3 linked regions of the Oryza sativa Japonica Group genome follow. Each later gene encodes a partner of the first gene's protein in a complex. Links are inferred from orthologs where the notes say so. Each region holds a gene or a part of one and is shown on either strand. Other genes may lie near its edges. The genes, in order: NAD(P)H-quinone oxidoreductase subunit S, chloroplastic; photosynthetic NDH subunit of lumenal location 3, chloroplastic; NAD(P)H-quinone oxidoreductase subunit O, chloroplastic.

Region 1 (2,787 bases):
TTGGAGGGGTACAACTCCTTTTTATATTAGTATAGATATAGATATAGATGGTGGTAATCAATACAAATTGTACTCTGTTTGCAAAACACTATATCATTATTGTTACTTCACTGTCTTCCTTTACCATCCTTTTAAATCTGCTGCTACACTTATTCCTGAGTAAGGCAGGTTATATAGAAGTAAAGGCCCTATCTTTTCATATACTCTTTCAAATAAACAAAAATCATGGGAAACCAGCTATCAGGCAAACGTAAACTACAATGCATAGATAGTTGCTGTGCGAAATACTGCGGGATTTTGAAGTCATGTCAGGAATAACGAACACTTGAACATTCATACTCTGTACAATTTACAATCATGAAAGCCTGGTTACCTGACTGTCATAGCCTCTTCGCTTCAAGAAGCAAGAGATGATAATTCAAGTTTGTAAAAAAAAAAATTAATCCTACCAACATAATGAACTATGGCAACTGGTGCCCTTGTAGGCATTTCACTAGCAATCCGGACCAAACGTGATCAAATTGATCAAACATATAGCAATTCAACAAAGAAGCTAAACTTTTATCTCCGAATCGTTTGTTTCATAGTGCCAATTCACACTAAGATTCCAACTGTACATATAGCAATTAACAACAACACATTTACTCACTTCGAAATTACTCATCGAATAGATAATATATATATATATACCCCTTTCACTTCCATCATCTAAGAAAATATAGATAGCTGTATACATACAAGAAGAAGCAGAAGCAGCAATGGTGGTCAAGCCGCGGCGGCGGTGCCTTCCTCCTCCTTCTTCTTCTTGGCCTCCTCTCCCTCCTCCTCCTTGGCCACATCGTCCTCCATCTCCGCGGCGAGGGACTCGAGCAGCACGGACTTAGGGTTCACCATGGGCGGGCCCTTCTCCCTCCCCTCGAGCTCGTCGAGATCGAAGGTGATGAGCCTGTCCCAGATCCCCCCCTCGAACAGCACCCCGACCTTGCCGTCGGTGACGCGCTGCACGATGCCGCAGTACATGTGGTAGGCGTTGTTGGGGTTCTTGACGAGCACCACCATCCCGGGGAGGAACAGCGGCAGCTCCGGCGCCCTCGGCCGCTCCACCGTGGCGGCGGCGGCGAGACCTTTCCTGTGCGCCGGCTTGGGGGGAGGCGGGTTCTTGGCGACGAAGTCCTTGAGGCCGACCTCGCCGCCGGGGAATCCGCCGGTGAGGCCCATCATCTCCTTGTCGAACGCGTCCGGGTCCACCCCGGACGCAGCCGGCGGCGGCGGTGGCGACTCCGCGGGCTCGTCGGAAGAAGTGGTGGTGGATGGCGGCGCGGCGGGGGAGTCGGAGGCGAGCTCCTTGCGGATGCCGACCTCGCCGTTGCAGAGACCCCGGCCGCCGAGGAGGTCAGCGACGCGGAAGGTCGCCGAGGGAGGGGGCAGGCGGACGATGCGGGGGTGGTGGTGGTGGGGCAGCGGCGGCGGGCGGAGGAAGGAGGCGGGGGTGGTGGGCGCCATTGGTGGAGCAGAGCGGAGCAGAGGATGTGTGGAAGTGACGAAGCCTTTAAAGCCTAGGTGGATGAGGACCGGGGGTGGCTAATGGGCGACTGGTACTGCTATACGGAGTACAGTATATACTTAAAGTACTACTAGTACTACTACCACTGTACTACTTTAAACTACTACTCCCTCCGTTTCATAATATAAATTATTCTAGCATTTATTACACGTTAACATCAATATGAATATGAAAAATACTAGAATGACTTACATTGTAAAACGGAGGAAGTAGTAGTAACTGGAGTACTACTAACTACTACTACTAAGGCTGTGTTTAGATCCAAAGTTTGGATCTAAACTTCAGTCCTTTTCTATCACATCAATCTATCATACACACATAACTTTTCAGTCACATCATCTTCAATTTCAACCAAAATCTAAACTTTACTCTAGAATAAACACAGCTAACTAGAACTAGTACTAGTACTACTAGTACTGGTAACTAGGACCACTACACCACTACTACTGTTATTATATACTACTAGTACTATTTAAAAAATATATTTTATATGTAAATATATACGCATATACAAAAGTTTATATATAACGTATAACAAAGTTTATGATATATATACAAACTTTATATATGTTCATTTTAAAAAATAAAAAAAAATAGAGGAAAACCATCACGTATATAAATTTTATATATACACTATACGCATATATATAAACTTTATATACGTATGTATATAAACTTTGTATACTGTATATACAAACTTTATATATGTGATGTTTTTTTTTTAAAAAAACAAAGAACCGAAGAAAACAACCATAAAAACCGGCGAAAAAAAAAGAACGCGGGCCTCCCACTGTGCGCGGCCGCCGCGCCCCCTCCCCCTCCTACGCGCGCCACGCGTCCATCCGCGCGGGGTGAGGGGGCACGCGACCAGTCGCCAATTAGGAATTTCGGATGAGGACCTCGTGTTTTTCGACTGAAAATTTTACATTTAAGCCCCTTTTTATTTTTTTTCATAAATAGGCCCCTAAAGTTACTATCCGTAAGAAATACTTCCTCCGTAAAAAAAAACCCAACCTAAGAGGAGATGTAGTGTCCAGATTCGTTGTACTGGGAGGGGTCAAATCCCCTCTTAGGTTGGTTTCTTTGGGATGGAGAGAATCACAAAATAACTCAATCTAGATTCGTTGTCTTAGAATATGTAACATCCTATCCTATATTGAGTTATTTTGGGACGGAGGGAGTAGACGACGAGCCCAAATCACGTCAAATGTGGTATAAGATCT
Region 2 (3,014 bases), about 5.0 Mb from region 1:
CAAAGTTTCTACTCACGGGGTAGTTAACCATGGTCAAACTTGTTGACGTGTACAAATGGAATCACATGTAGGGATAGATATCGAGTTGACTCGGCTCGGCTCATCAACAAGCTCGAGCTAGCTCGTTAAGCTCACGAGCTAGGGGCAAGAGACATAGCCGGCGAGCATAGGAAGCAGCTCAACCTCGCCTGCACTTCAAGTCTGCAACTAGGGGAGGAGGGGAGGAGCTTGACGGCGGAGAAAACGAGCTCGAGCTTGAGCTCGACGGCGACTACAGAGAGGAGCTCGATGGTGGAGGGGATGAACTCAACCTTCACAGCTCCGCCGACACTTGGACAGTTCACGGTTGGACCACGAGGAGGAGGCGAGCTCGACGGCGGGCACTGGGGGAGAGGCGGAGAGCGGCGGCGGCAGGCGCTCGATGGGGGTTGGCGGCGGCGGCTTGGCGCGGTGGCGATGGCGCTCACACGGCGGCGTGGCGCAGCGCCGATGGCGATGGCCGAGATGCGGATGCCGAGATGCACCGAGCGCCCAAGCCGCTGATGCGATGCGAATGCGATATGTGCGAGACGGTGGTGGACAGGGAGTCAGGGTCTCAGGCTGAGGTGAACTAGGGTTTTTTTTGATGAGTCTATTGGGCCAATGGGCCATAATGTATGTGTGCTGTTAGCTGTGGACCTGACTTGGCCTGGTAACCCCATAGCTCGTTAAGGCTCGCGAGCAGCTCGAGCTGGCTCGTTATCTCTAACGAGCTAAGATGCCAGCTCGGCTCGTTAGGAAATTCAAACGAGACAAGCCAAGTCGAGCCTGTCACGAGCCGAGTGAGCTAACGAACCACAAGCTTTCTGTCCACCCCTAACCACATGTAAATGCCTTGGTTTGCACCAGATTGAGAGGAGGAAGAGAGAAGATTGAGAAGATACACAAAACGAGGTGAGACATTAGCACATGATTAATTGAGTATAAACTATTTTAAACTTAAAAAATTGATTAATATGATTTTTTAAAGCAACTTTCGTATAGAAAATTTTTACAAACACACCGTTTAGTATTCGGGAAGTGTGTGCGTGGAAAACGAAACAAACTAACTCAAAATCACTGAATCACCTCCTGCAGAATAAGAAGATGGTGGAGGCATTATACCAGGTTTAGCGGTTAAGAGAGACGATTCAATCAAGAGCGAGAGAGGAGGGAGGCAAGTTAGACTAATTCCTTCATGCAGCCATTCTGTCGGCCCCTAGGAGAGGCAGCCCCATCAAACCGAGAGAAATATCTATGTGGTGCACTTTTGCAAAGGCGAAGGTTTTCCTCATCCTCTCGTGGCATCGCGCGCTATCCATTCATTCCCTTGCTACACTGACACACATCCTCGATGGCCACTTATCTCCAATCAGCAGGCCTCACCGCCGCCACTGCCAGCACCAGCCGCCTCCTCCGGCCAACACCACGGAGGCTGCTCCTCCTCGTGGCGGCGTGCTCCACTGGCGGACGGAGATCAGCCTGCCTCTCCGTCGGCCTCGCAGCCGCCGCCGCCACCATCTTCCAGCATCATCCCGCCTGCGCCGCCACCGACGACGAGCCGGCAAACAATGGGTGGTGGCTCACCGAGTTCCCTTTGCCGGTGCCAAAGATTGTCAACAGTGAGTAGTAAATTAATTACCATTACACACACAAAATATATAAATATAGTGATTGCAATATATATATATATATATATATATATATATATATATATATATATATATATATATATATATATATATATTGTGTGTGCAGAGGAGCTGAACAATGGCGAGACGGGGAGCCGGACGTTCGTGAGGAACGGCATCTACATAGCCGACATCGGGCCGAGCTACGCGGCGCACGCGTACAGGCTGCGGAGCACGGCGTTCGACCTGCTGGCGCTGGAGGACCTGCTGGGCAACAACGCCGACAGGGCCAACTACGTCACCAAGTACCTCCGCCTCAAGTCCACCTTCATGTACTTCGACTTCGACAAGCTCATCTCCGCCGCCTCCGACGACCAGCGCCCCCCGCTGCTCGACCTCGCCACCCGCCTCTTCGACAGCTTCGAGCGCCTCCAGAAGGCCTGCGGCACCAAGGACGACACCCAGATCGGCTCCTCCTATGCCGACACCAAGATCATCCTCCAGGAGGTCATGGCAAAGATGGCCTAGTGTTTCTGTTGGTGTACTAGCTAGTACTGTATTTCTCTCACTTTACTTGTCATACATACATATATATATATATATATATATATCCTCCTCATCACACACATATTCATATTCACATCTACGCTATGCAATATAACTTCATACTCAGTAAGTACTAAAAAGCAACAGAGCATTTCAATTCCAATTACTTGTCTGTCTTTATCATCCAAACAAAGCCAGCCCAACACAACACAGGGCACTTCTCCAATAAAATACAACCAACCTCACATCTTGTTACTACCACTGCACATTGATGCAGCCACAAATTAGATACTACAGTACTATCTGTAATGTAATGCAATGCGATGCTCGTACAATCAACAAAGCCACATGCCAAATCAGAATATTATACACACCCTCTAAGCAACCAACACACGGAGGGGATGCAAATGATCCATTGCATCCCTCAAACAACACACAAATACAATTAGTCATGGACATTCATTTTGTCCAAGCCAACTCATCCTTGCGCCAAGCTACGCACTTGGGTTTGACGACGAGGGATGCCAATCTCGCACGAGTTCACCCGTGCTGCGAACCGTAGCGAGCAAATTGACTCCCCTGTAGACGACACCTCTGGAGACAGATTCACAAACATAAGTGTCTTCGAGTCTCCTCCAAGGCATGGCTGTGTCCAAGGGGAACAAAATCATTCACACATTATAGCCACGGAAACTAGAACAAGTTTGCAGATATTCTTAGCTGAGTGCTTAGAATTTACCTGTAGCAAGTACGTTAATTTTGAGTTCCTGAACGGAACGTGCTCCTCTTTCTTTGCAATGGAGAAGATTACATCGCTCA
Region 3 (3,540 bases), on another chromosome or scaffold:
TATTAGATGAAAAATATGCTCAACTTGTCAGACTTCTCGGTGCGGTACGTGCGCTCGCCCAGCGAGAGGCACGCGATGAACTTGTCCTTGAACTGCATATCCGCCTGTGGCCACCAACCAAATCAAAACAACGCGTACAAAACCACAGCAGCAGCGTACACAGACGGAATGAATCAAAACCACCGATCCCCAATTCCACCCCCCTCCGCTTCGCAGCCGCAAGCACACACACCCAACCCGGCCCCGTACCTTCACTATCCGGATGCGCGCGATGCCGGCGAACTCGTCGACGGCGATGGCCCTCCCCGTCCCCGACTCGGAGGCGTGGGCGTCGCCACCGGGACGCCCCGCGCGGTCGCGGTGGCGCAGGCGGAGGCGGCGGCGGAACCGCTCGAAGCGAGACGGCAGCGGCGAGGGCGGCGACTCGCCGTCGCCGCCGCCGCCGCCGCATGCATTGTGGCGCGAGGGCGAATGGCCCATCTGTCAGTGAGATGGAGTAGTTGGACTCGACGGCAACGCGCAGGCGCAGCGAGAGACTTGAAAGGCGATGACCTTTTAAACGCGAGGCAGAGTAGGAGGAAGGGTCATCGGGTGGTCCCCACATGTCATACAGATAATAATTAATGGCAGTTTCCACATGGCAGTTGTTATACATCTGGGAAAGGCAAAAGGCCGTACCCAAGCAGGAGTCGCCTGGGTGTTCGTTAGACTGACATGTGGGGCCAGGATATGCTCGGATCATTCACTACCTGGACATGCGGAAGAAGATTCATGATTTTTTTTTGCTTTTTTCCAGCGCAACCGTCGCAAGACAAAATAATGGTACGCGTGGGGCCGGTTTGATCGAATATTTTCGAAGGGTTGCTATGTTTTGCTAAAGTAGAGGTCAAATGGGATGGATCATGGATGGATGGGGACGTTGAAAACGCGGTGGATTCATTTGAGGAGGAAGGATCCTTGGCATCGGTCAATTGTGCATGTTACGACAAGTGCCACAAACCAGCAGAAGCAAAGGTAGAAGATGACCATTGCAAAAAAAAAAAAAAAGGGGGGGGGGGTGTCCTCCTAAGCTTAAGCTAGGCTTTGCATTGCTCTCAACGCTTTTCTCCCTTCCACTTGCCGCTGTTGTTTACTCTTTCCAAGCTAAATAGCGACATAAAACTAAAGCGGAATTCCTCATTTGCTCGCTCATTCGCTGAGGTCGAGCATACAACAATCTAAGACGGTGTCATGATCCATGACCTTGACTCCTCCAATTCTCCTTTATTTTTTCTGTCTATCTCTCTCTCTCTTTTCTTTTGCTAATTCATTCATATAATATAATCATCATATATGGGCCTTACCCAAATGAGGTGAGCTGGGCCTGAAGCTTTGTGACAGTTGGCCCAAAACTGAGAGCGCTAGCTCAGGCCCAGTGGTCACCTTATCTGCCGCGTGCAATTCATGTGGCACATATTTACGTGCACTTCGTCACTTTGCTTTTTGCCATTGCCATTGCCAAAGCTAAGCTTCTCGCCATGGAAGCTCTCCTCTCCTCGCCGCGCGCTCTCTTCTCCGTCACGCCAACCGCGTGCTGGCCGGCGTCAGCCAGGAGGAGGAGACGTGTTGCTTCTCCTGTCAAGGCGGCCGCCGCCGCCGCCGAGCCGGCCGGGGAGGAGAAAAAGCCCGCCACCGGCGGCGCCGCGGCGGCGGCGGGAGACGGCCAGGCGGCTGCGCCGGCGCCGAAGAAGATCCTCAAGAAGAAACCTGTCTACTCGAGTAATGAATACGCTTTGCAACTTTGCATTTCAGCTCTGAGTTCTGAACAAGCATCAAAGCCATTTAGCTTCTTGTTTGTTTTTTTGTTTATACTTGATTAACCAATCCATTTATTTTCATCCAATTGATTTGGTTGATGATGCGCCACAGTGAAGAAGGGCCAGATTGTGCGCGTCGACAAGGAGAAGTACTTGAACAGCATCAACGTAAGCACACTGATCGATGCTACTGCATAGATGCTTCATTCATTTCTACTCTTTGTGCTGTAATTTCAGTCTATGATTTCCTCCCCTGCACATGATTTTTTTTAAAAATTTGTTTCATTGATTCAGTATCTGTCAGTTGGACACCCGCCTTTCTTCAAGGGGCTAGACTACATATACGAGGACCGTGGCGAGGTAATTATTTAGCCCATCTTACTGAACCTGAAGTTAATTTCAGCTAATTAAACCTAGCAGTAAGAACATCTTCGTTCTAGCTACGGTCATAATCTTGTTCGTCATTACCGTGCAGGTTTTGGACATCAGAATCTTTGAAACAGGGGAGTATGCCCTGGTGAGTCACCTGCCACTTCATTTCTTCTGTATATTTTGTAGATTTGGACTTCTGAATCTCATTCATATGTTTGGACAGATCGCTTGGGTTGGAATCCCAACTCCACCGGCATGGCTGCCAACTTACATGCTCATCAAGGTAATTACAGTATCTCTAAGTCCATCACACATGCAGCATTGCCAAAATGCAGAATGTACCATCATTTGACCACTTAATCTTAACACTATTTTTACAGTCGGATAAACTCGACTACGAGAGAATATGATATGCACAGGATCGAAGGTTGCGTTCAAGCTAGCTCAGCAATCGGGTGGGAGATCGGTCCTTGGCCTGCCAGACTAGCGTTTTTTCAGTTGTTTTCTTCCCTGCATTGCAGATTCTTCCCCTATTTCGGTTCTTCCGACGATTAATCTGCAGATGTTTTCAGTCGGTTCGTGATATATGACAATGTGTTGTATATAGATGTCAATATGAGGCGATTTGCTGTTGCCTGTTGCTCCGCATCTAAATTAATTATACTGAACTGAAAAATTTAACAAAAGTTAAGTGATGATATTCAGAGCTATTCAGATTCATTTTTTGAGATGGCTAATTATCGTGCCATCTGATCGTATTCTGTAAGCTTCAAAAAAAAAATGTTAGAGATATACTGATATAGAATAGGCTAACGGATGCACATACCCATGAGAACGTCTCTTTTAAACACGTTCGTAATGCATGAAATAACTAAAAGTTCTACTGAAAGAATACTCATTGTACGTGTAACTGCGGATATCAGAATTTAAACTCTAATGAACATACTTCTTCTGTACGCACAAATCCATCACTAGGCCCCGTTTGAATCCTCTAGGAAGAGAGGATATTTTTTTTTTGATATTCGTGGCACGCTTTTCAAACTGTTAAACGGTGTGTTTCGTGCGAAAACTTTCTATACGAAAGTTGTTCTAAAATATTAGATTAATCTAGTTTTTAAATTTGTAATAATTAAAACTTAATTAATCACATGTTATTACCACCTTGTTTTGTTATGAAGCTCTTTTGGAACGCATGTTATTTTTACGAGTTAATCCCATGAAAATTTGAAATATGTATGGATGGTTCACAAGAAACACAGGGATTTGCTGGCTCGAAGTAAAATAAGATAGAAGTAGAGGGTAAAATGAATGATGCATTAGATTTGTTAGAAGGAAAAATAATAATGAAATGACAGTTGAGATCATACATGTT

The links.
Region 2: NAD(P)H-quinone oxidoreductase subunit S, chloroplastic (region 1) and photosynthetic NDH subunit of lumenal location 3, chloroplastic share a complex: the UniProt entries of both Arabidopsis thaliana proteins name them as parts of the chloroplast NDH complex. The link is inferred for Oryza sativa Japonica Group from reciprocal best matches to the Arabidopsis thaliana genes NdhS and PnsL3.
Region 3: NAD(P)H-quinone oxidoreductase subunit S, chloroplastic (region 1) and NAD(P)H-quinone oxidoreductase subunit O, chloroplastic share a complex: the UniProt entries of both Arabidopsis thaliana proteins name them as parts of the chloroplast NDH complex. The link is inferred for Oryza sativa Japonica Group from reciprocal best matches to the Arabidopsis thaliana genes NdhS and NdhO.

The regions. Positions count from the first base shown.
Region 1 is NC_089041.1:5,276,780-5,279,566, forward strand, and holds NAD(P)H-quinone oxidoreductase subunit S, chloroplastic, read right to left. Parts: upstream 1,595-2,787; 5' UTR 1,504-1,594; coding exon 766-1,503; 3' UTR 541-765; downstream 1-540. UniProt on the Arabidopsis thaliana protein: NDH shuttles electrons from NAD(P)H:plastoquinone, via FMN and iron-sulfur (Fe-S) centers, to quinones in the photosynthetic chain and possibly in a chloroplast respiratory chain.
Region 2 is NC_089041.1:312,368-315,381, forward strand, and holds photosynthetic NDH subunit of lumenal location 3, chloroplastic, read left to right. Parts: upstream 1-1,298; 5' UTR 1,299-1,372; coding exon 1,373-1,640; intron 1,641-1,776; coding exon 1,777-2,177; 3' UTR 2,178-2,358; downstream 2,359-3,014. Other genes in the region: kinesin-like protein KIN-14N, read right to left, coding at 2,674-2,841, 2,935-3,014. UniProt on the Arabidopsis thaliana protein: NDH shuttles electrons from NAD(P)H:plastoquinone, via FMN and iron-sulfur (Fe-S) centers, to quinones in the photosynthetic chain and possibly in a chloroplast respiratory chain.
Region 3 is NC_089035.1:42,962,868-42,966,407, forward strand, and holds NAD(P)H-quinone oxidoreductase subunit O, chloroplastic, read left to right. Parts: upstream 1-1,452; 5' UTR 1,453-1,517; coding exon 1,518-1,758; intron 1,759-1,908; coding exon 1,909-1,964; intron 1,965-2,090; coding exon 2,091-2,156; intron 2,157-2,271; coding exon 2,272-2,313; intron 2,314-2,391; coding exon 2,392-2,451; intron 2,452-2,548; coding exon 2,549-2,578; 3' UTR 2,579-2,881; downstream 2,882-3,540. Other genes in the region: phosphatidylserine decarboxylase proenzyme 2, read right to left, coding at 25-104, 250-480. UniProt on the Arabidopsis thaliana protein: NDH shuttles electrons from NAD(P)H:plastoquinone, via FMN and iron-sulfur (Fe-S) centers, to quinones in the photosynthetic chain and possibly in a chloroplast respiratory chain.